Oreochromis niloticus: one gene and its partners. The protein of the gene in region 1 purifies or fractionates together with the protein of each later gene. This does not show direct contact. Links are inferred from orthologs where the notes say so. Each region holds a gene or a part of one and is shown on either strand. Other genes may lie near its edges.

Region 1 (7,346 bases):
ATATTCTGAAAAGACCAAAAACCAACATTTGTAGACCAGGATGATATTAAGTCATGGAGAGATTTCCACAAATTTTGGAAAGTCACCCATAAAACATGTGCTGTGTTGTTTCCAAAGTTGTTTTACAAATATAACAATTGTCTGACACAAATTTAAATCTTTCTTTCATGAATTCATTAGAGGGGTCGATGGTTTTTGTAGTTTTAAAATGAACTTTTTTAAATTTGGGGGTTTGGGAATTTTAAATATTTAGTTCTGATCAAAGAAATCTCACATTTGTTATAATCTTTTAGAATGAGTGAGCATTTTGTCCTACTTGAATATAAGGTGTTAACCAAATACTTCCTCCAAAACTGATTATTGCATTTTTCATTAACAAGGTCTGGACCATCTAATTTAATTTTACGTAAATTTGGAGTTGGTATATTTTGCGTTGATAAAAACTATCGGGATATTCTGTGAAACGTTTTTGTAGAGCTCAATTGAACCACTCATGCTATGTTTCTCATTAAACCTGTTTAATTCAAGTATATTTCTGTTTTCATCCATTATATGTGTGACAGACCAAATTTGTTTTGTCATTCATTCTTCCACAAACATAGATTTCCCCCGATTCAATATCACCCTATTATTCCACAGTGGAACTTTGTGGGGACTAAAGTTATGTTTGAACATTAATCTCCAGTTTAACAAAACTTGTTGATGAACTTTGGAGAGTTTTATGAGAATTTGATATCCCCGACTTTGTTGAAAATAAGAGATATAATAAGAGGTATCAAGAACCAGATCTCATCATCATTGTTTAGCCAATTAAGCTTTAACATTCCCTTCATTATTTCAAAATCACTTGCTTTTAAACCCCCCTCTTCATAGTCTTTTATAAAGTCCCTGCTTCTGATATAGTGAAGTTTTTTCCCATATGAGATTAAAATTAATCTTATTGATTTCTTTTAATATCCTTGGTGGGATGGCTAGGGAACAAGCTGGACAGATTAATCTGGACAAAGATTCAACCTTGGTTAACATTATCCTGCCGAACAACATTAAATCTCTCTGTAGCCAATTGTTTAAAGTGTTTTTGCATTTGTCAATTGTATTCTGAATATTCTTTTCTTCACTGTCAGCCATGCATTTAGTTATCCAAATTCCAAGATATTTGATTTCATTTTTGACAGGTATATCATACAAGGAGGAGTGAGAACAATTATGGATACTCATGAGTTCGCATTTGTCCAGGTTCAGGCGTAGGCCAGAAGCATCAGAGAAAATCTTTATTGTGTCTAAGCCAAATGGAATTTGTTGGATTTTGGAATTTGGCAATCAGTTTGCATGCTTATTCTTAGTATGGTTAACTAATTGGGATTTCAAATATGCAGTCTACTGATTTAATATAAAATTAAATATTTGGCTGAATTGTTTTATTTCCATACAGCTGAATCCTCCCCAGAAAACCAAAGCAAATGTTTTTTAAAAAATAATTTCACCTGAGTAACTGTGTTATTTAAAAGATTAGCCACAATCAGTGTCAATTTTCAGAGTTTCTTTCAGTTAGTAGCGTGTTTTGGATTCATCAGTTTAATTTTAATAAAGGAGTTTTCAGAGAACTGGTCCAAAATTAGAGGTTAATAGGAGGAAGAAAACATAAAGAAATAAAATAAATTATAGCCTCCACACATTGTCTGACTTTTGTGAGCTGAATTATTGTACGATAATGCAGTTACAGTTTTTGCTTTATGTCCATTTATCCTCCCAGTGTGGTCATGGCTGCTGCCAGCTGTCTGCTGTCTGAAGACCAGTTTCTGTGCTGCATCTGTCTGGAAGTGTTCACAGATCCAGTCAGTACACCATGTGGACACAACTTCTGCAAGAACTGCATCACTCAGTACTGGAACAGCAGTCCTCTGTGTCAGTGTCCAGTCTGTAAAAGGAAGTACTACACAAGACCCGAGCTCCATGTCAATACTTTCATCTCTGAGATGGCTGCTCAGTTCAAGCTGTCAGCTCAGCAGGAAGCCAGCAGCAGCGGAGGAGAAAACAGAGGATGAAATTCAGGAGATGATCCAGAAAAGAAAGATTAAAATTGGGGAAATGAAACACTCTGTGCTGCTCAGTAAGAAAGAGGCAGACAGAGTGACAGCAGAAGGTGTTCAGATCTTCACATCTTTAATAGAGTTTGCAAAGAGCAGCATGAAAGAGCCGATCAAGACAATTGAAGACCAGCAGAGAACAGCAGAGAAACAGGCTGAAGGCCACATGAAGGAGATAAAGCAGGAGATTTCTGAACTTATGCAGAAAAGCTCTGAGGTGGAGCAGCTCACCCACCCTGAAGACATCCTTCACCTCATCCAGAGTTTATCTTCCGTGAAAGCTGCTGTCCCCACCAAAGACTGGACCAACATCAGTTTGGATGGTGGGGAGAATTATAAATCAGGTGGAGAGGAATCTCAGAAGTGAGTTAAGTAGAGTGACTGAGGCTGAGCTGAAGAGGGGGTTACACAGTTAAGTTAAAATTTAACCCTGATTTTGTCCCTGATTCAGTTCAACCCAAAGCTCCCCAGTCTGCGAATGGTAATTGTATATGTGTTTTGTCAAACCAGGGTTTCTCTTCTCAAAGATTTTACTTTGAGGTTAATGTTAAAACCCATCGTACATGGACAGTAGGAGTGGCCAGATATGTGAGCAACCTGAAGAGAGAAAGCACCAAACTGAGCCCTGAAAATGGTTACTGGACTGTTTGCTCGGGGCCATGGTGATCAGTTGATCCATCTGTGAATTTAAGAACTGAGAAAGTGGGAGTGTTAATAGATTATGATGAAGGCCTGATCATTTTTTATGACATTCATGGTGTAGCTCTTATTCACTCATTAATTGGCTGCTCTTTCACCTAGAAACTCTACCTGTTCTCCAGTTCCTACCAAAATAATGGAGTTCAAATCCACACCGGTAAATGTTTGATATCATAGATAAGTGTCCTAAAAGGTGTTCTAAAATAAATCTACATAAATAAGGGGAAAAAAGAGTTTTTGCTATTTGAATTGTTTTATTTTACACCCGTGAACCTCCCAACAACTGCCACAGGTTTGTATTAAGATGAACATTTTTGATGATGACATTTTGTGATTTACACTGTTGAGAACCTATGAAAATGTTTTAATACAATCTAAAATAGAAAACTTTCATTTTGGAGGCAGTTTCACTGACAAAGATACAATTTATACACCGTAAAATATAACCTATAAATATAATACATGTGGGGTAGTTGAGGAGGGAAAGGTTAATCCACTTAGTTAAGACTTGCATGTGTATATCTGGGTTGCTTTTTTAAAATATTATATATTATAAATCTAAGCTTCAATAAAGTGATTTTTTAAGTGTTTTGTGTGTTAATTTAACTCAATCATCTCACATCTTCTACAATGATTTCAGCAGGTGGTTTAAAGAGCTAAATGTCTCCACCTAGTGGAGTTTATCCCACACTGATAAATGTGCCCCTGCCTTTACATCTCTGACACTTTATTTGTCTCATAGAAGCAACTTGTGCAAAAGTTGAAAACCTCTGTTTCTTCTCTGTGACGCCACATTTCTGCTGATGTGTTGATTCAGATATTAAAACAACGATGCAGAAATGCTCATGTTAAACGAATTCACACTTAATTTTCCGATTGTGTGCCTTTAGCATCATCTTTCTGTGATGTTACATTCTTTGTTGGGCTGCTTGTTACAGCTGCAGTGGACATTTTCCCCTAGTTTTTTGTGAGCATGGGGGATTGTGCAAAATTTACAGTTAACATATGGCAATTTGCAGACCAGATTAAAATTCGCAAAGGCTTCGATTTTGTCATTTCCTTTTAGAAATGACTTTTAGATAAGGCATGAACTGAGTGGCTGTAAATCAAACAAAAGTTCTCCCCACTCCTAAATCCTGTCCTGTCTGGCAGCTTTTGCAATCAAAATTAGGATCTGTTGAACCAAATACATTTTGCTTTTCCAGGATGAGCTCTATAAATATAGGCTTCTCTTGTTTCTATTATCTTTATTTATTCATTTCTTCAAAACCTTCACCAATTTAATGTCCGTGACGTAGATTTTCTTATTTGTATGTCTGATTTTATTGTGAAGCACTTTGTGATTTTTATCTGTGAAATGTGCTATATAAATAAATTTTATTTACTTTTACTTTACTAAGACCAACTTACTCACGGTAGCAAACTTTCAATATTCAAACTTATATATATATATATATATATATATATATATATCTGTAAAATTTGTTTTAAAATGATTTTGTTTTAAAAAATAACATTTGTTTACCCTTCGCAAACTTTGACGTGTAATAGATGCGACCCGGAGGAGTTTTCTGTTTGGACCCATACTGCGCTTGCGCAATGATAGGAGTCCTTGGCTGCTCGGCCTGCTGTAGGTTACGGATCCAGTGAGGGTACACCGACAAAATGCAGAGCTGGACACAGTTATACCGCTCCCTGGCCACGGTAAGCATTCATATTATTTTCGCTATAACCAGTATGCGAAACCCGGATGTGTCGTAAACTGTCCTGCGTGCTGCAGATCTAGAGGATAGGGGAAATTTTAGACCTGCGGCCCACACCTGGCTAGCTACTCGGCTAACAGCAGAAGGCGAACCAGACTGTACTGGAAAAAACATGCAATTTGGAGTTGTTGTGGTTATCGATGTCTAAACACGTTGCTTGATTTTCAGTTGATGTGTTACCTATTCATATACCTTTTTCCTTTTAATTCGGCATGAGTTAGACTAACAACCTTCCCCACATTTAAACTAAATCACGACTTTTCTGGTTAAATATTGCTGCAGTATTTTGAAGTAAAACCTGCAATGAAAAGAATCGTGATATTTGTATTCTGCTAATATTAAAAGGGCTTAAATCACACAAAGCTAGAAGAAAAGCATCTAGGTTCTATGACTTGGCAGTTGACATTTCCCACTCTGGTGTCGTGTTAGCTCGCTTAGCTGTTTAGCAGCGGTTGCCTAACTCTTAATTTATGTCGTAAGCTCAGCTGTTGTCTCACAGCTTCAGGGCGAGCATCCCGATTATTCCGAATTGTTTCGGGGCTTTTAGAAGCTTTGCGACTCTATAACACTTAAATAGTAGTTATTTGCTAACTTGGTAGTCTGCTAAAGGGGAAAGTTTCAGAGTTGCTAGTGGACAGGCTGAGGGTGTCCTTGCTGAAAGCTGGCACTGCAACAGCAAACCAGCTGAATGTGGTACAATTCCATGAAAACAAGTGCATGAGTCTAAATATTAAAATTTAAATTTTAGTTTAGTAGTTGAGTTTGCTCCTTCGTGACTCACTAGGCTTCAGTATCTGAGTATGCAGCTTTAAAAGGAAATAGTAGTGACGTAAATAGAAATTTTTAAGCAGCAGATTACTGAAGTGAGAGAAGCCACTGAAGACAGATACTTTTAGTTTGCAAAGTTGGCTTGTGATGCACTATAACATTGTTTTTGTGTTGCATTGCCTAGTTGTATTGTGCATGTGTATTTTCTAACTGTGCATTTTGTTTGCTTCACAGCGGAGCCACCACCTGCCCTGCAAAGTGCACGGAGCTGCAGCGCTGTCTGTTCGGACCTACGCTGACAAAGCAGCAAGTACGATTGTGCTGTAAATCTTATCATAGGACTTTATTTATGGCACAGTGTTTACTGAACTGTAGCCACATGTTTGTGCAGTTTGATCTCTGATGTTTGTATCAAAGCAGTCTCATAATTCAGACTTGCAGAGAGTCTCAGGTGCTGGATTTGGGTGGGGATAGGACTTCATGGACTATGTAAAGAGGGGTGGTAGAGAGCTTGCATTAAAATGTTCATTTACATACACCAGACTTTAATCATGTAGTTTTGCTCTGGTGGCGTAAAGTCATGCTAAAAGCTGCTGTGTTGCCTCTCTGCAGTTGATGCAGACGTCACAGTGGTGGGCTCCGGTCCAGGAGGCTATGTCGCTGCAATCAAAGCTGCACAGCTCGGCTTCAAGGTAACCCACCTGCCCAACAGATATCCTGCTGTCTAAACAGATCCCACAGATGGTCACAAGTGGAAGTTTTTGGTGAATAATGAATCCCCTGTCTCTAAATTTGTTATTCTTTGACAGACAGTGTGTGTCGAGAAAAATCCCACACTCGGCGGGACTTGTCTCAATGTCGGCTGCATCCCCTCGAAGGTAACAAACTGCTTTTAATCTCCACAAATTCACAGGTTTGTTTGTAAGAGGTTTGATCAGTATGATCGTTTTACAGAGGAAGGAGAGATACCAAGGATGTTTTTATCTTGGGTTTGGTTTTTCTTTCAGAACTTGTACACCTTTAGTATAAAAGTAATCCAGTGACGGTTGTCTATCCATAGATATATTATAAAGGGTAAATGCTTCCATGGAACACATTTGAGTAGTACAGACAAAAATTTTGCCAGAAAGAACAGCAGCACATACCGGTAGCATCTTTTTATTGTCTTGATGAATTCAAAAATAAGCCAATACTTCTGGGTTTAGCCAAACAGAGTGGGAAAAACATTTTCAACTTCATAATAACGACTAAATTTCACAGAGAGAGGAAAGCAGAACAATCTTCACCTAAAAAGAACTTTTCAGTTTGGTGATAAGCACTGAACGTAAGATTGATTAAACTATATTGAATCCGTAAAATGACGTAAACGTGTATAAAGTCATTCCTCCAGCTGAATAAGCTGCTGTTTTGTTTCTGCAGGCTCTGCTGAACAACTCCTACTTGTACCACTTGGCTCATGGGAAGGACTTTGAAAGCAGAGGCATCGAAAGTAAGAATCACCATCAGGCTTTAAAGGGAACATTTTGTGTAGCTTACTGATCCTTAAAGGGGGCTTATTCTGCTCATTTCCAGCTACATGTTATAATTTTGAGCTCTAGTAGAGCTTTGCATGATTCAAAGTTCAAAATAATCCTTCTTTATGTCATAGAGGTTTTTGTGCTGCCCCTCAGTTAATCCTGTCAGAAACAAGCTGTGTTAGCTCTCCTCGCTTTAAGCCAACCCTCTTATGATTGGATGCCCCTCATAAAAAAAGGTTTGACCAGCAGTACATGCTCTGTGTGCCTGAAATGACTATAGTAGAGAAATCCATTGTCTTAACCTTTCAAGTAGATTTTTTTTAGCCAAGATTACACTGAAGGTCATTATTTGCAGCATTAGCCATATTTAATATAAGCATATACGTTATTATAACACTTGTGTCTGTATTCCTTAGTATTGGATGCTGATGGCACAGAACATGTGTTTTCGACAATACACTTTAATTGAATGTAACTTGTTTTTCCATCGATTTCTTAGTTTGACATTGTGA
Region 2 (7,082 bases), on another chromosome or scaffold:
AGTAGACCAAACTTTCCTTCTTTTAAATTATCTCCGACTTTTTGACATGTAGCCTGCAGGCTCTGCTGAGCCAGTTTCCTCACAACTGAGCTGCAAAACACACCAACTGGTCGTCTCTGTCTTTAATTAACTCGCTGTCATGCCGTGTATTAAATTAAAACAAAATACCAATGCAGTGCAAGGTGTTCAAGAAAAAGTCATCTTCCTGGATTGAGAGTTTGAAAGCAGAAAAAACGTTTATTTGCATCTTATTGATCTGTAGATATTTTTTGGTTGAGTATCAAACATCACATTGAAATTACAGACAGAAATGACTGTTTGTTGCAGCACAAAACAGTGGAGGTTTAACCGACGCTCTGCTCATTGGTCTGTTTCTCTGCATTGCATTTCCCCCAGTTGTCTCCACAGTTCTTCAGACTGTACCCCTCTCTCTCACGAGCTCTATAAGCATGAAACAATCCCAGTTTAGATTGATTCTGAACATCTTTATCTCCTTTTTTTCCTTCTTTTGGACCAAACGGGCGCAATATTTTGCACGAGGCAGAGCACATAACGAAGAGCAGCTAAATGAATAGGAAGCTACAAACTACACTACTTGTGTTTTCATCCAGCTGTTTGTTTGTGCACATTTATTTGATGATGGCATGAGGGGGCAATGACAAGTTTGGGAGAAATAACCCCCCAGAAAAAAGAGGTGGGTCAAAGTATAATGGAGGGAGATGCGATGTACCGTGTTTAATAAATTTATTAGACCACCTGTTATTTAAAAAAAAAAACATTAGATCAGAGTTATATCATTATTTCTGAGGCAAACTGAATTCATCACTTTACAGCCAAATGTGAGCCGGCACTCTGGACAGAAATAAATCAATCAACATTCAACCACAAGATTTTCTGCTCAGAAATGCATGTAAATGACTCTAATTTGGCGTCTTAGTCAAAATATATCATGCTTTCATTTTTTCCTTGTAAAACAGTAAATTTAAAAATTCATGGATAACAAAAATAACTATATTTTAGCATTAGAAATATTTTGATTCAAAAGCTTGCACATTCTGCTACACAAATGAATAAAAGAACAAATTTGTTAATTACCAATACTGATTACTTATGCAGCTGTGGCATAAACCTTATGTTGAGAGGTGGACTAATAAATTTAGGCACTGTGCATGAAGCAAGTGTGGAGCACTGAAGAAATAAGGTTTTGATGGTGTGCGTCCTAGCTCCTTTTACTCACAGTTGATGAAAACAGTTTCCCAGAATTCTCCTTAGCTCTGCACTACAGTTGGATTAAAGGGAAATGAACAATAACATTAATTTTCTCACCTGGTATCCTCACAGTCTCTCATTCTAGTGCAGCATGAATTTAAAATCAGCCGCCTGCTGTTGAGGTTTATGGTAGATCATCACGTCTGTACTGCCCCGCATCAGAGCAACTTGGATGCATGGCAATGAGCAGCTCTGCTTCCGATTGTGCTCAGGGTCTGAAATTAATCTCGCATCACATTTTTCTCCTGACCTCAAGTAAATCCTCAATTTTTTTTTCCTGATTTTATTTTGGTCCATCAGTCTCTTCACATCACTGACCAGGGTCCAGATCATTTCTAATAATCCTTCCATCCACAAGTAAACTACAGATAATGCGTTGCCGTCAACATTACTCTGTACTTCTGGGAATAGTTAACCTAATGCCACAAACCATGTAAGGAAGTTTGATTGAACCAAGGCTTCAGATGATCTGTAACCGGTTTATTATTGTCCCGAGTGTATTTGGGAAGATTATTCTTGTTCATATAACTGTTTCTTTCCAAGCATGCAGTGCTGTGTAACATTAAACACAAATAACATTCAGCACTGAAATTTTGTGGATGAAGTGCAGCCCCAGAGAGCTCAGCTCGCCTTCAGGATTAACTTCAGACCCTGATTTCTGATTTTGATTCTTTTTAATGTTTGTTTTTTCCTCTGTTTTAATGTTTGTGTCCAGACTTTTGTTTGTTGTTATTGTGCCATACCCATTTGGGTGATAGTGCCTAAAGAAATCTGAATGTTTTTTGTTATTGTACATGAGCTCATCGTTTTGTTTGTGGTAGTATGCCAACGCTTCAGCATGTGGCTTAGAGTGGTTAGCAATTAACAATAGTCCACATGTCTGTAAAATTATCAGAGTAAAACTTTGTAAATCTGCAACAGAAAACACAACAGGTGAATAATTATAACTTTAAATTACATGCAACTTTTACAGCTGTCACCACAGGGCAGCCAGGACCCACTGTGTGCAACAGAAACTATGACCACCTGTGGTGATTTATTCCTCATCACCCAACTTGTGTGCTGAAGCGTTGGTGGCTGAATCTGGAGCTCAGGTGAATCCTGTAACCTAAAGACTCTTTAAAAACCAAGTTTTTAGCCCTTCGATGACAGCTCAGTGCTCAAATCATTTACTTTCATCATTCAGTGCAATCAGCCTAGCATGAATGCTCATTACGTTTAACCAGAATGTGTCTCTGCAGCACTTTAGAGGGGTGGAAGCCCGGTCCACGGGGATGTTTGTTAATAAAAAATAATCCAAGGCAGCAAATTCTCTCTAATCTCCTGAGGAGTGTATTAATGCAGCTGCAAGAGGACCCCCTCATCATCAGCAAACGTGAAATAGATTTGGCTGCTGTGATAAATAATACTTGTATCAAATGAATAAACATTTGGGGAAAAAAGCAGTTTCCTGTTTATTTTCACGTTTTCTTATAGTTGTGATGAACAGGGGAAGATGGAAAAGGCAGGATGTGACATCTTATATGGAAGCTTATCAAAAGTTAAAAGGTTTGCTCAGGGAGGGATATTTACAGGTAACTAAAAGATAAGTGATGAGGTTGCACAGGTGGAAGCATAAAGAGTAGTGGTGTAGACACAGCTGCCTGACAAAGAAGAGTTCCGTGAAGGCAGACGAAGGGTAGGTTTTATATCTTTGGGCTCTGCCCGCATCATGAAAAGTGGCGAGAGTGAGACAAGAAGAAAGAAGCCATGGCAACAGGCATTGACCAAAATGAGGCATCCATCCCTCTGTGACACTGACACAGCTACATCATCAACTGTTTTGTTACGAGGAGCTATGTTACAACTATTGACTCTATGGTCTCAGGTGTAACAGTGTTAATTGCATTTTTTTATATTTATGGTCACTTTTAATTTAATTCACAGCGGGACACAATGTTCAAGGTGAAATGAACTCAAGGTTGGATTATTTTAATGTTTGATTATTTTAACGTTGCTTAAAGCATCTTCCTCCTACCTTTATTTGTATGACCCAGGTGTGGCCACACCTCTTCTATACCTGAAGCTAAAAAGACTTGTGCAAAGCATACACCTTTGCATCTCTTAGATATAGTCTCCTGTCTCCACTCAGCATAGAAATTAGTACTGAGACTGATTTTGATGTCGGAGGACAGAAAACATCAAATAAACATGCACATATATATGACTTCTATTTGCTATTACGTGATGTGTACGTGACAAATAAAAGGTTCTTGAGTCTTGAATCTTAAAACAAGCACTAATTTGATAAATACCAGTAAAGTTAACCTTCAATACATAATCATATATGTCATACATAATCATACAATCATACATAATGTGTGTGTGTGTTATAAATGTTACAAGTGCAACTCATGTTTTCACTTATTTTCTATGATGATATGTGGTAAACTGACAGTACCATTAGAGCTTGATCAGAATGAGGATTGGAAACATATTTCTTAATGGATATGAAAAAGTTTGGAAATTAAACTTGCAGACTTACAAAAGTGCCATTGTCCATTGCCAACTAGAATGTGTGTAGCATATGAAATAATGTCAAAGTGCACAGATTAAATTAAAAAAAAATAATGAATGAAAAAGGAGTGAATCGCACTACTTATTTATTTATGCATCTATGTATGTTTTGCCTTCCACACATGACGCCTGCGCGGCTCCGTGTCCTTGGATATTTTTACGCCCATTTCCTACTCTCCCGCCTCCTTATTTGTTGACCGCTGTGATTGGCTGTTCGAAATGACACGTTCCAATCAACCTATGAGGTGCCATCTTGATTGGCTAAAATTCGCCAGCTTCCACTATCACGTCACTCTAGTTCGACAGAGGACAGGTTCAAGATGGCAGCGTCCCTGAGGTGCTTTCTCCGCTCCGGAAAGGTATAGATTAAATCGATGTTTTTAAAGCAGTGTTTGGTCTTTCTTGGAATGTAATGTTTGTGCTCTCGCTCTGTTCTCCTGCAGAATACCGTGTCAGCTCTGCAGCGGCGGGATTTTCACAGGAGCGCTCCGGCCGCAGTACAGGTCAGTGTTAGCAACTAGCAGGCTAGCTGTTTCTACAGCGAATGATATCGGTAAATATAGTTTTGATTGCACAGACAACAATAATAGGCTGAAGATTGGATGGGGGCTTGTTTTAATCAGCAGCTGCCTGTTTTAAATACGTGTGTTAAGGTTTAGGGGTCGTGCGGTTGTGCGGTCACTGAGCAGAGGGATGCGGGTTTACATCACATCAGCCCTCATCGCGCTGACAGCTGTCTCACATTAACGTAAATCACTGTCAGGAGTTTGAGGGGAAAACTATTAAAACAAAGCTTAAGCTCTGAAACAGTGCAGACAACAAAATGCACACTTTTTAAGCAGAACAGCAAGAAAAATCCTGGAATTTGGAGTATTTTAAACTCCAAAACGAGAAGTGCTGCTGGAATACACATGCAACATCTCGAAGTGTCTTTAAATATTGTAGCTGCATCTGGGGTTGCTCGTGTATTTTAAGCAATTCCTTAATATAATTGGCAGGAGGATAAAATTAATCAAGGCATTTTCACCGAAGTACAAACTGCATCTTTCGCTTGTCATTAAGAGACTGTAAATGGAAGATGGTTGTGATATTGTGACATCAGACTGTGCACTCTAGGGCGGAGTAATGGACAGGTTTAAGGTCAGAGCACTGGTTTTAAGTGGCCATTAAATTGGTGACAAAACTAAACAGATGTAAATAATTTCTACTTGTGTTGGATACAAGTAACTACCAAGAATGACTTTCAGCTTTTGAGTTCTGAACTAAAACCTTCAGTCTTCTGATAGCCACTTGAGACTAAAGTCTCCGGAAATTGTTTACAGCCCTATATGAAACAGGTTTTGGATGGAAACTTGCTATTGTTGCGTCCATAAGTTAAAAATTTAACTTCAGTATGTGGAAGCCAGTGTTTTCTGTGACGTGTACTGATTGTTTTGTTGCCAATGTTAGATGACAGTCCGTGATGCCCTGAACCAGGCAATGGATGAGGAGTTGGAGAGGGATGAGCGGGTGTTCCTGCTGGGTGAGGAAGTCGCCCAGTATGACGGTGCTTACAAGGTAAGTTTAAAGCTCAGATTGCGAGTGAAGTTCCTGGAGGCAGTTTGTGTTCTGTCCCAATGAGGGCAGTCAGACTAATGGTGGTTACTGGTGCAGGTGAGCAGAGGGCTGTGGAAGAAGTATGGAGACAAACGAATCATTGACACTCCAATCTCAGAGGTGAGCTCCAAACGACCTGCCCTACAGATGTTTTCCACAAATCTAAGTATCACCACTGGTGGTGTTGGACTCATTTTAGTAACGTTTTGTTTTTGGTGCAGATGGGGTTTACTGGCATTGCAGTAGGAGCTGCTATGGTAAGTCTGACCTGTTCCTGATGGGATGGGACTATATTAAACTGACTTTAGTTTGTAACATTTTTACTTGAGTCTGTCTAAAACATCATTCTAAACCCTGAATAATCTTGAGTCCATTACCTGAGATAATGGGCTTAAGTTTAAGAGCTTCATAATTACACTTGAATTCTAAGCAGTAATTCAGTTCTGTGCACACTTTGCTCTCTACAGACCTGAATTATGGCTCCATTGCCCACCAAATTAGCTTTACACCTCAAGACCAATGAAGCAGTACACAGGCAACTCCCAAGCCACTTTGACTTGTATAATAAAGCACTTTTCCTACCTTGAAGCCATAAATGCCAAAATAAGAGTTCCTTTAGACTAGAATTCTTCAAAGTACAGATTATGAAAGCTCTTCAGATTCAAACTACCCTATTATACTTGAAACTTGCAATCGACAAATTCCCTAACAAGATCAATGTCCTCTTGCAGGCTGGTCTGAGACCCATCTGTGAGTTCATGACCTTTAACTTCTCCATGCAAGCCATTGACCAGATCATCAATTCTGCAGCAAAGACCTATTACATGTCAGCTGGGCTACAGTCAGTTCCAATCGTTTTCAGAGGCCCTAATGGAGCGTCAGCAGGCGTCGCTGCACAGCATTCACAGTGCTTTGCTGCATGGTGGGTTCAAGACGTCACGTTACTGTTTGCAGTAACTAGCTGATGTTTGGCAGGTCTGACATCAGTGTGGTCATTTGTCTCCAGGTATGGTCACTGTCCAGGACTGAAGGTTGTAAGTCCATGGAACTCAGAAGATGCTAAAGGCCTCCTGAAATCAGCCATCAGAGATGAAAATCCTGGTGAGATGCCACACTGAAAAGCTTAAAACATGGATGTAACCCTGCATATCAATGTTCAGGCACTGCTAGCTCCAGTTGATTACATCAGTGTTTAATTAAATAAGCCAGCTTGTCCCTAATGTGTCTCAGCCAATAGTCAAACAGTAATTCAAGCATTGTTGGACTGCAACTGACTAGTTCTTGTTCTGGGGTCTGTTCTTCGTACCTCGCTAAGTAAGTAGCTGGATTTGATTGTTGACGATTTCGCGTGATCTTGGATCGTTCGGTTCTCCGAAGCTCATCCGGGACTTGCTGTCATAGCAACAGATTCGTAAGCGTAAACCTGCTTGGGAGTAGGCTTACTTTATGTAAACAGGATTAGATCGCGGCCACTCAGGTATGTACACTTCATTTATACGAAAGCAACAGCGATATTTCTCCACTGTTTTTTTCCATAAATAAATATTATCAATGTAACTAAAGATAATGCAGTATTTGATTCCTTTATTGATTTCATACAGATACATACAGGTCATTTCCTAAAAAAGGGAACTGTACTATTAATCATGCTATTTCATGTA
Region 3 (7,714 bases), on another chromosome or scaffold:
CACCAGTTTTTGAATTGTGTCGACAGGCCACGTAAAACCAGAGTTATGATAAAAAATACACGCGATGGTTTTTTTTTTTCTGAACAAAACAGTGGTGTTTACAGCGGGAAGAACGGTAAAAACGGCGTTTTCTAAGGACCGCGCTAGCAAACACTCTCCACTTGCGAGTAAAAAAAAAAAGAAAATACACCCCTTCCCTATTGGTGTTAGAGTTTACCATCTCAGCCAATCAAAAAAATGATATGGCAACATGTGGCACTTGGTTGTTTAGGGAGAAAGGGAAGTTTTAGGAGTGACACCCGCGACGGAAAGCAGGCGCGCAAAAGAAAGAGAGCGCGAGTTTTCATATGTGAGACATTAGTGACGTTTAGCGTGTTTGGAGGCTAGAGTTAGTTTGTTGTGTAGTTATTGTTTTGTATTGTGTGTGAGTTATACTGCTGAATGTCACATTTGCTCCAAAAAAGCCATCAAAGGCAGATTCCAGTGTAAACGCTGTTCCCACATGGAAAACTGGACTGATACACCTCCTGCTGTCAGACCTGCAGGGTTTAGGCCTGTGCTGTTCTCCTCTGTCTTATATTGAACACAAACTATTTTTGGACTGGCACAAATAATTTCTGTGCCTTCTTATTTGATGCAGCACAACTGATTGTTCTGTAACTAGATTTAAATGGTTATATAAAAAACGCCCGAGGCCTTGGCTGCATTTTTAGGTAAATAGTACCATATAACTTTGTTTGCAAAACTTTGGGAACTTCAGGTTCATACACATGTAACGAAAGATACTTTATTAAATATTTACTAAATTGATATAAAAATTGTTAGTTTTCAAAAAGTGTGTCCTCCTGAATGGGATTATAAGCTAACAAGCAGCGCTGTGTGTTTGGCAGATGGCAGGTCATGACGGACAGTTCAACTCTCATCCCACTTTTTGTTATAAATGTCATAAGTGTGCTACATTGGTTGTGCATCAAAATTACTTTAAAAAAAACTGACAAAACCATGAGCAATTATCTGGAATAACTAATTTTAACATCTTATTTCTTAAGGCTGTATTTTTAGCAACAACACTTAATCTGTTTTAAAAACAAAATGGTAGGTTTATAAATGAGACTGAGTCTTATTTGATTTCCTTGTTTTAGGCCTCAAACATAGTCCAGCATCGACGAACCATCAGTTTGGAAGGGTTACAGATATTTATTCGTGACGACGAGACCAAACTCTTCTTAACATGTCTGGTGAGTATGCAAATCTACTCAATCTTCAGTTTTGGTTTACAGAGACTTGTATGTACTGTTGTTAATTTTGCATAGGATACAGATCCAGTTGAGAGGGCAACCCGAGGTGTTACGGTGGGCATCCTCACTGTTCTGGAGGACTATGTGGGACCCAACTCGCAGTCCACAGTGGTCAACACTGCCATTGTTTTGGAAGAGGACATTATTCTTGATGATCTGCCAGACCTTCCCACTGCCTTTGCCTACCTGTTTGGCCTACTTTATGGGGTCAACATGGAGTTTCCCAAAGAACTCAAGTACACATTTGTTTGCTGTATGGAAACCAGATAGAAGAGTTCATATCCTGCCATCTGATGTTTTGAATCTGTTTGTTAGTGACTATCAGTCAAGATAGGTTTGATTTTCTGTCTGACAATACCACACCTTTAAAATTGGATGAGTAACATTTGTTACAAAAATTTGACCTTTTTTTTGTTTTTGGAAAAGGACTTTATTTGTGGCTAAATGTTGTCAGTATGTTAAAAATGGCTCATCTCAAAACATTGTCAGTGGTACAGTTGTGTTTGAACACAAAGTTATTTGAAAATCAAAATTGTGTAAACATTCATTAATACAACAGGGAGCACCTCATGAAAACTATAAAGGATACTTTTTCTAAACTTTAGGAAATTGATTGGCAAAACAAAAAAAATATGTTGTGTAAACTTTAGGAATTACATTGTTAAAACAATGAAAAATATATTTTGTCAACTTTAGGAAATACGTTGCCAAAACTAAAACTAATACCTTGTGTAAACTTTAGGAAATACATTGCTAAGACAATAAAATATGAGTTAAGAAAAAGCACAGTTATTAATTTTGTAAACACAAAAACATTAGTTGAAGCAACTTTTCTCCTAAACTTGAAATTATAAGTTATCCATCAGAACCTAAAAACGTAAATGCAGTGGGTTGCCTTGAGTTTTTAAGTTTTTGCAACAATTCTTTTTTTAACAGTGTATTTTATTTAGTGCCCTGTGAACTAATGCCTTTCTTCCAACAATGTCTAACAAAAACACATGAATTTAAATAAAATATCCATAAAGTAAAGTAGAAAGGATTGCTTTTGTATAATAAAACAGTAAGAATAGGAGTAAATTTTGATATATTGGTATGTCATAAAGTCATGTATTATATTAGCAATGAGTAATATTGCACTGAAGTTTATGTTATTGAGTAATAAGGGGGCAGAAACTTGGAATAATAATGTGGAAACATTACTTTATTAACTTGGTTTTCCATATTATTACGGTCTTGTTTCCACATTATTACACCACTATTATGGCATTATTATGAAGTTGTAATAGAAAGGATTACCAAAGTGTGAAGAATTATCATTGAAATCATTTTTTAAATGTGTTTTGGAGAAGTTTGTCTAAGTTTATAAGACATCTTTGAGTTTCAGGAGAGGAAAAAAAGTGGTAAACATTTAAATGCATAAAGCAAAACATATAGTTGGCCCAGAAATTGAGCTCAGCATCACACATACTGTTTCATCTTGCAAAGAAACCCTGTAATGTTTGCCAATATTCCCTTGGCTTGTCCATTTGAATAGTGCATGGAATGACATTTATAATACGCCCTTTACTCTGCTCACCTCATTATAGGTAAGGCAAGCTGTGAGGAAATGGCTTTAGATTATGAAAAACAGAGCCACAGGAATTCAGCTGAAAAGTCCAAACCTTTGGCAGTTCTCTCAGGAGAATCTACACATACAGTGCATTATTTACAGGTTAGACAGGTGGCACATTAGAGTATAAATAATGCCAAAAATTGTCAACAACATTTGCTTTAATGCTTTGTTTTCTTTTTTTCTTTCTTTTTTTAAATATACCTTCATATAACACTGGATCCCTTCTGTGCAGCCTATTCTAATACTAACTCAGCCATGGATGAGCTGCACAAGGCAATAAGGAGTCAGCAGAACTCCTATCCCAATGCAGTGTACATCATAGTTGGGGACTTTAACCATGTTGACTTAAGGTCAGTATTCACCAAATTTGAACATTATAGCAACAAGGTGGAAAAACACACTGGATAAAGCCTACAGCAACATCCAAAAAGGCTACAGAGCAACCCCTCTCGGACTAATGGTGTCAAAGGCCCCTCCCATCAGAAGGAGACACACTCCACCCACTCCAGTTCGCATACAGAGCTAACACATTAACTGAAGATGCCATTGTTACAACGCTCAGAATACTGCAGCAAGACTCTTAACAGGCACCAACAAAAGATCTCATATCACCCCAGTTTTGGCCTCCCTTCACTGGTTGCCTGTAAATTTTAGGTTTCATTTTCAAATTTTACTTCTAACCTTTAGGGCCCTACATGGTCAAGCTCCACAGTATATATATCTGACCCGCTGAAACTGCATTCATCTTCCCAAGCTCTAAGGTCATCAGGTCAACAACTGCTGATTCCACCACACACTCAATTTTAAACTCGTGGTGATCGTTCCTTTCAGGCAGTGGCACCACAGTTGTGGAATTCTCTTTCACTGTTTTTACACTGTACTGACACCACTGATTCTTTTAAAAAGCAGCTGAAGATATTTTTATATAGACAAGCATTCAACTAATTTGTTGTTTTTATGTTGTATTTTATTGTTTTACATTGTCCAGCATGTTGACTGTTACCTGAAATGCCACTTACTGACCAACAGATGGCACTCTTACAAATACCAAATCTGATTTGGTATCTGTAGTCAGACAGTGCTCGTGTCATCAGTGTCACTTTAACATTACAAAGAGTAAAAACAAGTAAAATATATTTACAATAAGCAGACCTAAGTGCCGGAAAGTTCAAACACTGAAAAGCACAAAGGCCAACTTTGTGTCATCCTCTGAATGCTTCATGACACTCTTAGACAGTTTTTATCCTTCAATGCTGATTTGACTGAGTTATGATGTGTACATGGTTTTATTTATTTACTTACTTTCACATTTACCTCGACTTACTTTGCTTCAGCCAGCTGTGTTTTTATAATCATGCAGTCATCGGACCTTTGGAACCTTTGTGAATTGGACAAAATCCAAAATAAATTCAAACTTGTGCACCCAGTTCTTTTTTTTTTAAGTCATTAAAGATGCCATAATGGGTATATGCAAACTTCTCGCCATAACTGTGATACATAAAATCAAGATTCACAGGCTGGCTGGACCCAGGCAAACTTCCCAGTAAAAGAATCTACTGCCATCATGTGGTCATTGATGTGATTACAGCTTAATTACATTTATCGCTAAAACAGTTTGAACAGTTCTTAATATAATTTTTTATTTGCTTTACTTTGTTTCTTTAGCATTGTACTTTCATTGGCAGTGGTGGTGTTTTTTTGTTTGTTTTTGTTTTGGGGGTATTCAGCGACTGAATTGTGAGCCGCTGCCATTTACGACACCAACGACAAAGCTACGACAGCACAAGCAAGAGAGCCGTAAATCGTTGTGTTTGGGGCTGGAGGAGGTCATTAGAAAGTGAGGAGTTAAATAGGGGCTGGCTGTCAGGGAGAAGAGACCCTCGGTGTAGGTGTAGCTCTCATGCTGGTGTAAGACATACATATTATTCACCAGCTCTGTATAGTATTCCAACCGCTGCGAAATGCTTCGTCTGATCCTGCGGCTCAGGCCGTCCTCCGGGCTCCGGTGTCCCCGTGCCCTCCCGGCCGGGCCTGCTGCGCTCAGCTCCCGCTCTGCTCCCGGAACCAGCTGTCTGAGACGGCTTCATTATGGAGCAGGGTCCCGAGCGGCCTCTCTGGGCTCCGGCTTCAACCACAGAGCGACTCTTCTGCGGTCTCCCCAGCTAGCAGGTGGATGTCAGTGCAAGCGCTTCTACAGCCTGCCGCCACACCAGAAGGTAACGCTACCGGAGCCGGTGTCAGGTTGCTATAGCACCCATGTTCACCGCGTTAGCTAGCATGACCTCCCTGCCTGTTACAGAGATCTGTTAAAAAACGCTTTATTAACTGGAAATCCGGCTCTTCCCTGTGTGAGGTTAGCAGGAACTGTTGTTACCTATCGTTTGAATCTCTGAACGACTAGTTTCTCCACTCCTCACTGGTCACTGAACTAAATAAAGCAGACACTGTTGTGACTGTTTGTGCTGCGGTTCTCCTGAATGACACCAATCCGTCAAACCTGACTTGTGTGCCCCAAACACGGAGGCCATAGGAAATACTGGGGCTATAAAAACGTAACACATGCCTGATGGTGCTGAGCGATACTGCAAAATTTGGTATCGATCCCGATACCAAATAAATACAGGGTTTCGTATTGCCAATCCCGATACTTGTAACCTATAAAGACAGCTTAAGTAGGGAACAGCAGTATGTTATTGTTTATGAGGTGATTTATCATAAATTTGCAAATTGTGAACAACTTTTAATGACCACTAACTGACTGAGCTTTGCCTTCCATAATAGCTGTGTTTTGTTTCCACAACAAAGTACAGCTTTCAGTTTGTCATGTATTTTGAAACAGTTTTTTTTAGACTTGGAATATAAATGTACCTTTCTCTAAAGCACTGTTATTTAAATGTGCTATAGCTTACAAATAACAAGGATGTGACAGTCACTACGAAAAGGTTCAGACACTTTTCATAGCAAATGTTTGAGGTATATTTTACTTTCTCCAAAAATAATTTATCTAACACAGTTCAGAGGGCTGAACGCTGAACTTGGACATTAGAAGTAAAGTATAGGTTGTATCACGATCTGATACCAATATCAGTGTTTGTTTCGGTACTATCGATATTTGGCTCAATCTGCGCACCTCTGAGACATTTTAACACAGTACACTGTGTGCACAGCGCACTCATTGTAAAGTTTTAAAAAGACTAGATTCATACTTTGTCACTTTCCCCAAGTGTATTGAAGTCAATTAGAGCAGGTGATTTGTGTTCTCCTCTGCTGCATTAGACAGAGGACCTGGAGGGAGCTCATGGTTAATTGGTTGTGGAACAACTTCAGGAACTGCTGAAAACATGAAACAATTATAACCTGGGAAGTCTGACAGGCTCGTCCTCCAATTTAAGTGACCTGCTGGTTTATACCTCTTCGTCAGTTGGGAGTGCTGCCTGTGGAAATTGCATGCTGTCCCCGAAATCATGAAACTGGCAGCTTCACTTTCTCCTTACAGTCTAGAGGTGTGCTCGTTAGGTTAATTGAGCGTAGGTGCAGATCTTAGGCTGTGAGCCTGAATGAAACCCTCCAGTTTTGGCTCTAAAGTGGAAGGCTTCTTAGTAGTCCTTCGACCTTTGTGTTACTCCACCAATAGCATGTCATTCATCTTTGCTGTTATATAAAAAAAAACTCAATAAAAATCAGCTGTGGTAAAGTGGATGTAGGTCATTTTATTGAGCAATGAATGAGGTGATGATGATGTAGCAACAGCAGTTACAACACCTGACTTCTGGCACTTTTTTGACTGGCCTGTTGAAAAGTTCCCAGTGAGGATACTCGAAAAGGATAATACAGATACAGTCTTTGTTTTTTGGTGTTTTTTTTTTTTAAGGTTTTAGGTTATACATTGATTTTATTCATTTGCTTGCTCTTCAGGTGGAGCTTCCTGCACTGTCGCCCACCATGCAGACAGGAACGATCGCTCGCTGGGAGAAGAAGGAGGGGGAGAAAATCAGCGAGGGTGACCTCATAGCTGAGGTTAGGAGCCGTGTGTGCCCACGCTGCCGCAAAACGTGATCGTGGCGTACATTTCTAATGTTGCCTCTGCCTTTGTAGGTAGAGACGGACAAGGCCACTGTGGGATTTGAGATGCTGGAGGAATGCTATCTGGCAAAGATCCTGGTTCCTGAAGGAACCAGAGATGTCAACGTTGGAGCCGTGATTTGCATCACAGTTGACAAGTTAGTGTGTTTGGACAGTCCAGATTCAGAGCTGAGGCCTGTTAGTTGAGTTTTTTTGTTTTTTTTCGTTTATAGTAATGGGACGAATTAATAGTTGGAAAACATTAAATGGGGAGCACTATGTTTTGATAGTGGCAAAATGCTGCTTTTATTTATTTTTTCAGTCCTTTAAGTCCTTGAGCTTTAACAAACATGATAAAAAAGACTTGAATCTTCAGAAAACCCTTACAATAAACTTTAATGCTGCTTGGTTTACGTCTACATTTGTTATGAAATGTAATGTAATGTGCTATATCAACAAAATTGCCTTTGCCACAATCAAATATGGGAGGTTAAAAGCTGACAGGGTGCCATATGGCTCGATGCAGTTGTGTCAGTTTCTACTCATTATTTGTGGATATATTTTCCCCTGCAGCCCTGACTTGGTCTCAGCCTTTAAGGATGTAACACTAGATTCGATCAAAGTAGCCGGTGCCACTCCTTCACCTGCTACCTCTGCGCCGCCTCCTCCACCTGCTGCTGCTGCGCCAGCTCCACCTGCAGCCCCTGGAAGCTCTTATCCCGCACACTTAAAGGTAAGCGAG
Region 4 (7,857 bases), about 6.3 Mb from region 1:
TCATTTACCCAAGGACTTTTTTTGATGCCAAAGTGCCTTTTTATTGAACATTTATACTCCAATGAACGGATTGGAGGGCAGCTTACCTACTTGAGGATACTTTGGCATGGAGAAGCCAGATTTCAAAAAAACAAACCTTCTCATTAGTAGATGACCTGGTCTACTTCCCGAGCAACAGCCACCCCTCAATGTTAGTGAGTAAAACCAAAATATTAGGTAGAATATCAAATCCTTTAGTTTTACAATATCTCCCAGAAATATCTAGTGTCGTTTGCTGTATTTTCCCTTAATGATCTAACTTTCTGTCCTCGAGGGGGCATCAACTTCTTCAAGCTTGACATTTAGACTGACTACAGGATTAAAGTACATACATGATGATTGAATGTGAGAAGAAAAATACTGAAGATTAAAGACAGGCTTATACAGGCTGTCAGATAAAGCACTGAGCTGGTCTGTTTTAGGACATATTCACAATATTGTCAAATTACTTTAGCTCACTTAACAAATAGTATAGAACATGATAGCTCCTAGTTTGATCCTTCAAATATCACATACACAGTAAAGCTTAAATGATTGGTTGAATCATCGCAGGACGATGACTGGAAAGATCAAATCATGGAAGTGGTTTTCAAAGAAAACTATAAAAATTAGCTGGTTCCAGCTTGTCACCTAATGGAGAAAAGAAACCAATTATTATGAAATATTAAAATATACATATATAATTTTATAAAGTGAACTAAAGAAAAATGTATTAGAAAGATAACTTTGTGCTTCTTACAACACTAAGATATCAAACCTTAGGTACTAAGTGGTGATGTAAAATACACCATCTACTAGGGTAAATGTATGGGCATACCGGCAATTCACAATGTAATGCTTCTCACCATCCATGCTGATCATGATGTAAAATAAAGAAATATGCTTTCAAATACTTGTTGCATTGAATCATAAAAGTTAGAAGAAGTATTAAAAACAAAAACACATTAAGCACCTAAATTTGGAGAGACGCATGGTGAACTTGCCAAGCCAAGGCTGTGATTTAGTGTTTCACATTTTGCATGAGTAGTGTTTTGTATCAAAAGGTAAAAACTTTTTGAGCCAGTTCAACACATTATTAACAGTCATTCAAAACAGTCTTTTATTAATTACTAATTATTTACATTACAAAATGAAACGGGGAATTATGCATCATCAGACAATCTTGAGGTTGTTTTTGTTTTTTAAACCATTAGTATCAGTGAAACTCCACAGCTATGGCTTTAGGACAAACCCATGAATTTCCCTTCCTGGTCAAACCAAATGTCAGTGCTATCAGTACTTTAATTGGATTGGTTACTTAGAATTAGTGTCCTCTTTGAAAGCTGTACCTTCTTACTTAATAACTAGGTTTGGGCCTGGGTGTTAATCTTAGGCTTCACCTCCAAAGACAATTTAAAGTGTATTGATAGATCCTTATCATTTCTTCTTCTGTGTTCATGTGAGCAAGTATGATATGAATGATGATGATGGTGATGACTGTATGTGAAACAAAGCTTTTATCATATACTTTTTGTATTTATTATATGATGATGATCAATATTAAAGTGTGATCAGATGTAATCAGTGTGTAAACTAATAAAACTGTCCACTCTACTATTCCGTCTTATCTCAACTCACAACCTTAGAAAGAACCCTGTATTGTTTTAGTTTTCCTTGTGTTTTTAGTGCTTTAAAATGTTACATGAATAAATGTCAGTATTTCCTCTAAACAGAATATTACTCAGAATATTCCAGCAAGTATTTTTTAGAAGGCAAAGTTTGAAGGGTCAGTAAAAACATCTCAACCACCACAGTGATTACAGGAAAGCTCGAAAAGTAGATTTACTCATGAACTGTGCTATGGAATGTTTTAAAGGTGTAAAGTTACTTCTCTTTTGTTACATTTCAGGGTAAATGTCTTACTTTACTGCATTTATAGATTAACAAATTTACAGACAAGGATAGAAAATGTAATCTGTTGTTAAACATTATACATAATTTTATTTTGCTGGAATTCTTACTCTACCCTTTCTCTTCCACTTATCCAATTTAGGGTCACAGGGGGGCTGAAGCCTATCACAGTTGCCATAGGGCAAGAGGCTAGGTACAACCCTAGTCTGACTCAGGGTCAACACAGAGAGACAGACAACAATTCACAACTATGGGTAATTTGGAAAATAACCTAACCTCACTAAAAGTATGTCTTTGGACTATCGAAGACAGCCGGAGAACCCAGAGAGAACCTATGCAAACCCGTGGCCAGACAGTGGATTCTAATCCAAGACCTTGCTGTGAGGTGGCAGTGCTAACTACTGTTTTAACATGCCATGGATTTCATATGTAAGGTTTGTAAGGTTTTTTAGCTTACAGAGTTAAGTTCCCTAATTTGGTTGCTTTTGTAAATTGGAGCTAAATAAATAAACCAAATTGAAATATACTAAATTTAGGGAGATAAGACTCACCTTTTGCAAATACCTTAATGTCAGATATCAAAGTAGAACGGATTATAGTGAAATACAGTAGAAAAATATTTAAAATTGCAGTAAAAAAAAGTAGTAATTCACTAGCTGGGATCACATCCTCAGATAGGTTTGCTAACATTTTTGTAGATAGTGGCAGATGGCTTGAACATAAATTGAGGCTGTGGTTTTTGGGAAGGCCTCAGAGGGGGACTGGTGGCAGCTCCTGGGTCAGGCAGATCCCTATAAGAAGTGAATTATTTGAAAAAGGGAGAGAGGGTGGGTACGAATCTAAAGCAGACAATAGCAACCTCGTTGTACAGGATACAGTAACCATCGCAGTGGCAGATATTCAAGAAAGGTTTGCAATATATAACTTGTTAGGGGTGAGGGGAGGATGACAATACAAAAGACACACTATGGAAGAAAACCAGAGTTTTAGAAGGATTTTGAATTCAAGAATGAAAATAAGCTAATATGGGATAAATATGGTCTCATTTTCTAGTACTCTTGCACGAGCATCATTATGATTATTATGATTAGCAGAAGTAGTAGTAGTAGTAATAATAGTAGTATTTGCAATGTTGACTGGTTCTGAGAGATCTGGGAGGCTGCTGTTCTCTGCTCTTAGGTACACCAGCCACTTAGCATTGATAATGTGTAATGCCTGTTTTCCTCAATGCTCTTCTAGCATTGCTCAATTTCAGCTCAGGATCTGCCCTTGTATTGTTATTCGCTTGTAGCTGAAAGCACAACCTGGGATCTTTGCATGGATCTTTGGAAAACAGGCCATTTCTCCTCTTGGCTTCTGCTATGGAAATCTTGTTGCACTTTCTTATTCATCTAGGACCAGGTTTTTCAACCTGTTATACTGAAAAATAAGAAAAAGACTAGCATACCATAAAAAAACAAACAACAAAAAAACATCACAAACAGCAGTACAGAACCAGGAACATGGGATCTGTCAGCCTGAACAGAGACAGAGACACACATGCCTACACACAAGAAAATGATATTGCCAGCATCCACGGAATAGTACCAAGAAACTGACAAAAGTCATGTTTAATTAAAGACTAGATAAGGAGAATATTTTTACGATTTTTAAGGCTTTGCCATTTTATTTAGTATTTTTTTTTCTCTTTACAAACAAATTGAGGAACAGCAATACTGATAAATTACCAATTTGTGTGCAAAATGTTCATTTGATTTATGCCCAGATTTGATTGTTAATGACGTCCATTGTTTTAAAGTACAGAGCCAAACAAAGGAAGAATTCTTCAGAGAAGAGGCAGCCAGCTGATATTTTGTCTGCAGTAGCTTCAGCAAGGCTGAAGATAGATGATTTTTTTTATGAAAGGAAAGTTTAAAGGGCAAAACTGCTGTTAAAAGATTCTTGACTTTATTACCTATTATGTTTGCAATTCATTTAATTAAATAAAGCTTTCATTTAATGTAAAACATCTTCTGGTAGTGGTGTAAATACATTTATTCTATTTTGAATGCAGTGTGGTATTACTATGTTAATGATTTGTGCTGTGAGATCCAAGTTTACATAATGAAGTGGCTGAAAATCTGTGTCACCACCACCTGAAGTATGTGTGAATGTCTTTCTTGTCTCCTCTGTGTCTGCCTTTAGTGTTGCAAAGACTTCATTAGCATCATGAATTAAGCTGTGTTGCCAAAACACCAATTACATGAATACATATTAACATCAAAGTCAGTGCCAGCAGGGTGCAGAGGTATCGGAGCCTGTCTGAGAACAAGTTAATAAGCTGAGGGATAAAAATGCTTTTTACCTAAGGTCTGCTTTGAAGTACTTTGATTATATACTGTGAGCCATAGGAATTAATCATTTCAGATTTTAATACAGGTATATTTTTCTTCATGAAACAAGATGTGATAATTAGAAATTCTGCTTTTTCACCAACCAGACTGACAACATTGTGACCCCAATAGACTCAACCGGTGATGGTATCAGCCTTCTACACCAACACATAACTTTTAACACCTCTTTTTTTCTTAGAGTTTATATCATCTCTTGAGTGTTTGTATGTGTACTCGTGCGGTTTAATCAGTAATGAAATTTTCTGTAATCAGAAAAATATATATTTCTATGTAATAAAAAAACACCACAAAAAAAATCTTATTTGGTTTTGTTTAAATGTGACTACATTCCAGATGTAGTTATCCATTCATTACATCTCTGCCCACATTAGGCGCATTTTAAACATGCATATCATTTGAGTTGAACAGACAAAACTAACCCTGCATTCAGTTCAGAACACCAGAGAACGAAAAAGTTTTCTTTGTTGCTTACTTAAACAAGTAATATCACTACCGGGACGCTTTTCAGCACCGGGGACAAGACAGCGCTCGCGCGCGCGACACACACGCGCACACAGACTTTCGTCTACGACAGGACCTCTGACTTCCACTCATTTACGACACGGAAGGCTCCGGGGAAGGCGTCGAAAGCACCTACGAGACCGCGGTAAAGGTAACAAAGTCGATGCAAATGAAGTGTTATCCTAAAAGCTTTATTTAACGAGAAACTTTACTTTGAACCTGATTAATGCTTCGTAGGGGCCCCATGCGTGATGGTACGGTTTTTGAAGTGTTCTTGCTTTGTTTTCGGTATTGTATTTATTTTATGCAGATTTTAAGGTTACAAGTCTTTTTGTCTGTGCTTCAGGCTATATGCCGTCCCCCAGTGAACTTCATTTTACTAAGATTCTTTTTTCCTGGAAAGACCCGTTAGATGTGTTGTTAACCCGCACCGGCGTTATTCTTTGTGGGTTTTCATAACTAAATTCCTCTGTGTTGTCTTACTGCTTGTGCTCATAGAAACATTCGATTAGAGCGCCACAAAATGCTGAAAAGTAATGACTAGAAATACACCAAAAAACATACATTCTCCTTTTCAGTAAAGTCTGCTAAAGGTTAAAGTCCAGGTTTTACGAACTACTGAGGTGTCTTTAACAGTAAAAGCTATTATTTTCGATCTGCTTTGTTGCTTGCTGAAATAAACTGCAACATTTTTCGACAGTTAGCGTTTGGCCTACATTTAATAGGCGCATGTGTATATAGTGGGTGAATGGTGTCCCTAGAGACTATAAATTATAATATTGAAAACCATATCTAAATCTAAACCATGAATGTAATAGCTAAATGCTGAGTCTTAAAACTTATAATTAAGTCATAGACAGTATAAACATGGGGCACATCTTGGTGAGCAGGGGCCTGGTTGCAAAAGTACTTCTTGTTGTTCACCTTTTAAATATTGGTAATACCAAGATTCAGGGGTAAGCAAATCACAAGTTGTTAGCCACTTTTCTGTGCTTGTTAGCAACCTTCTGCTTCTTTAGCATGTAATGATAGACTAGGACTCCTTCCCCAGTCATTTCTGAAATAACTGAGGCCTCAGTCCATATGCTGCCTACGGCACCTATCACATTTTCAGAATTTTGGTATGAAAGGGAAAAAAGAAAGGAAAAAAAAAGAATTTTGGTATGAAAATGTATTGTAAATATCAGTTCTGGTGCAAAATGCATACCTTAATTTACAACTAGCACTTCTTCACATACAGGACACAAATTCACAAGTACTGAGAAACTGAATAAAACATTGTTTTGGCCTTACCATGTGTTTTTTCACAAAAATATATTTAATATTAGCCTTATTAGGTTTGCTCAATTACAAAATCTATATCTGGAATCTGCAGGATCCATTGGGCAGTTGGGAGAAGAGAAGGGGCAGTGTCTGCAGATAAGCCAATCTCTCCGGTTCAGCAAGCCAGACGGATTTGAAGAGGGGCAGCTCCTGATTAGCCTGTAGGATCTCCTTGTCCAGGAGAGTGATCCTGCAGAACTGTGACTCATCTGCCGCTATGCACTGCTTAAGGACTACGGCTGTAAGGCTTTGGCCTTTAACGGCTGTACAAATGACCCAGAGCCTATCAAAGCCTCTACCATTGGCAGTTAAACAGGGCTTAAGGAGATCTCAGCCCACAAGGCACCTGAACACACCTCTAGCTAGTGAACCCTTTCTCAATGGCACCAGCTCTAACTATGTGGAGGAGATGTACTACTCATGGCTAGAGAATCCAAAGAGTGTGCATAAGGTACAGCACATCCACCTTTAATTCTGTGTTTGATGTTGTTGTCATTTCTGCAGTTATATATGTTTAAAATATGAAACTGCATGTAAAACCAACCAAGTGTTTTGGTCGGCAGAGATGACCTAATAATGGATATATAACAGGGAAAAATAACTCCACCTCCATCAATTACAGACATAAAATGCAGCCTCCACATAAATCAACGCATATTTCAACCCAGTCATTATTGGTAATTAATAAACAGGTATTAGGTTGCCTGGTGTGGGACCAAAGTTTGATGGTGATTAACCAATAACTGAAAAGGTGACTATGACACAGTGTTTAAATTTGTATAAAGGAGAATACATTTATGATGAAATTTAAAAAGATAAACAGAAACAGATTTTCAAAATAAATGGGGATGTTGGTGGTGGCTGGAGGGGGGTCGAAAAATGGAAAATAATAATAAATAAGTATATATTGACAACTAAATACACATGTAAAGAAAGAAAGAAAGAAAGTTTGACAATTTTACTAAAACTTGAAAATACCAAATTTCCACACATGAACATCGAGACACAAAATTGTCCACATCTGTACTTCTTGACATGTTGCACAGTGACAATCCACTGAAGATACATTATTAGTGGAAATACTGGAATTTAGGTGATGGAGCTGCCTGAATAGAGTGTAAAGGACTTATGACACACTCAGTATGAATGCAATAGACAACTGCCTGCACTATTCTCACTTAGGCTATTCTCACTTAGACGTCACACACTACGAGACTATGCACTATGTCTCCAGTCTAAACGATGAAATGCAAAAAACTGTAGTTCATGGAGTGGCAACTTGAAGCTGCCTGCATAAATTACACAGTTCACATAGAATTCCATGTTTAAGTGGGCAGCTGAGTTTTTGTTTTATAACTCATCCATTTGGATAAAGGTTTACCATTAGCAACATTGGCAGTTGAAAGACAAGTAATAATAATAATAATAATAATACATTTTATTTGAAAGCGCTTTTCAAAACACTCAAGGTCGCTGTACACAGTAGAGTAAAAAGCAACATAAAAGCAAAGAGTTTACACAATCATAAAACATAAACAAATTTAAAATAGCAAAGTGGAGAGGTTATGTGGGATAAGCTATTTTGAACAAGTGGGTTTTGAGTTGGGACTTAAAGAGAGAGAAGGTAGAGATATTTCTTAAATCAGGAGGTAGGGAATTCCAGAGTTGTGGAGCAGAGCAGCTGAAAGCCCTGCTCCCCATGGTGACAAGA

Evidence for each region. Proteins that work in one complex are often made in the same cells at the same time.
Region 2: the proteins of dld (region 1) and pdhb purify together in Homo sapiens (affinity purification with mass spectrometry; 3 studies listed by BioGRID and IntAct, counting the BioPlex papers as one, with this or other methods). This does not show direct contact. The link is inferred for Oreochromis niloticus from reciprocal best matches to the Homo sapiens genes DLD and PDHB.
Region 3: the proteins of dld (region 1) and dlat purify together in Homo sapiens (affinity purification with mass spectrometry; 4 studies listed by BioGRID and IntAct, counting the BioPlex papers as one, with this or other methods). This does not show direct contact. The link is inferred for Oreochromis niloticus from reciprocal best matches to the Homo sapiens genes DLD and DLAT.
Region 4: the proteins of dld (region 1) and ogdhb purify together in Homo sapiens (affinity purification with mass spectrometry; 3 studies listed by BioGRID and IntAct, counting the BioPlex papers as one, with this or other methods). This does not show direct contact. The link is inferred for Oreochromis niloticus from reciprocal best matches to the Homo sapiens genes DLD and OGDH.

The regions. Positions count from the first base shown.
Region 1 is NC_031972.2:3,413,014-3,420,359, forward strand, and holds the start of dld (dihydrolipoyl dehydrogenase, mitochondrial), read left to right. Parts: upstream 1-4,334; 5' UTR 4,335-4,451; coding exon 4,452-4,490; intron 4,491-5,551; coding exon 5,552-5,627; intron 5,628-5,929; coding exon 5,930-6,009; intron 6,010-6,126; coding exon 6,127-6,195; intron 6,196-6,736; coding exon 6,737-6,806; intron 6,807-7,346. UniProt on the Homo sapiens protein: Lipoamide dehydrogenase is a component of the glycine cleavage system as well as an E3 component of three alpha-ketoacid dehydrogenase complexes (pyruvate-, alpha-ketoglutarate-, and branched-chain amino acid-dehydrogenase complex).
Region 2 is NC_031970.2:12,962,236-12,969,317, reverse strand, and holds the start of pdhb (pyruvate dehydrogenase E1 component subunit beta, mitochondrial), read left to right. Parts: upstream 1-4,063; 5' UTR 4,064-4,145; coding exon 4,146-4,184; intron 4,185-4,268; coding exon 4,269-4,328; intron 4,329-5,274; coding exon 5,275-5,382; intron 5,383-5,478; coding exon 5,479-5,541; intron 5,542-5,642; coding exon 5,643-5,678; intron 5,679-6,152; coding exon 6,153-6,343; intron 6,344-6,427; coding exon 6,428-6,522; intron 6,523-7,082. UniProt on the Homo sapiens protein: The pyruvate dehydrogenase complex catalyzes the overall conversion of pyruvate to acetyl-CoA and CO(2), and thereby links the glycolytic pathway to the tricarboxylic cycle.
Region 3 is NC_031975.2:13,575,564-13,583,277, reverse strand, and holds the start of dlat (dihydrolipoyllysine-residue acetyltransferase component of pyruvate dehydrogenase complex, mitochondrial), read left to right. Parts: upstream 1-4,695; 5' UTR 4,696-4,871; coding exon 4,872-5,126; intron 5,127-6,565; exon of another isoform or gene 6,566-6,716; intron 6,717-6,825; coding exon 6,826-6,927; intron 6,928-7,005; coding exon 7,006-7,130; intron 7,131-7,545; coding exon 7,546-7,705; intron 7,706-7,714.
Region 4 is NC_031972.2:9,756,098-9,763,954, forward strand, and holds the start of ogdhb (2-oxoglutarate dehydrogenase, mitochondrial), read left to right. Parts: upstream 1-4,838; 5' UTR 4,839-4,974; intron 4,975-6,198; 5' UTR 6,199-6,363; coding exon 6,364-6,597; intron 6,598-7,857. UniProt on the Homo sapiens protein: 2-oxoglutarate dehydrogenase (E1o) component of the 2-oxoglutarate dehydrogenase complex (OGDHC). Participates in the first step, rate limiting for the overall conversion of 2-oxoglutarate to succinyl-CoA and CO(2) catalyzed by the whole OGDHC.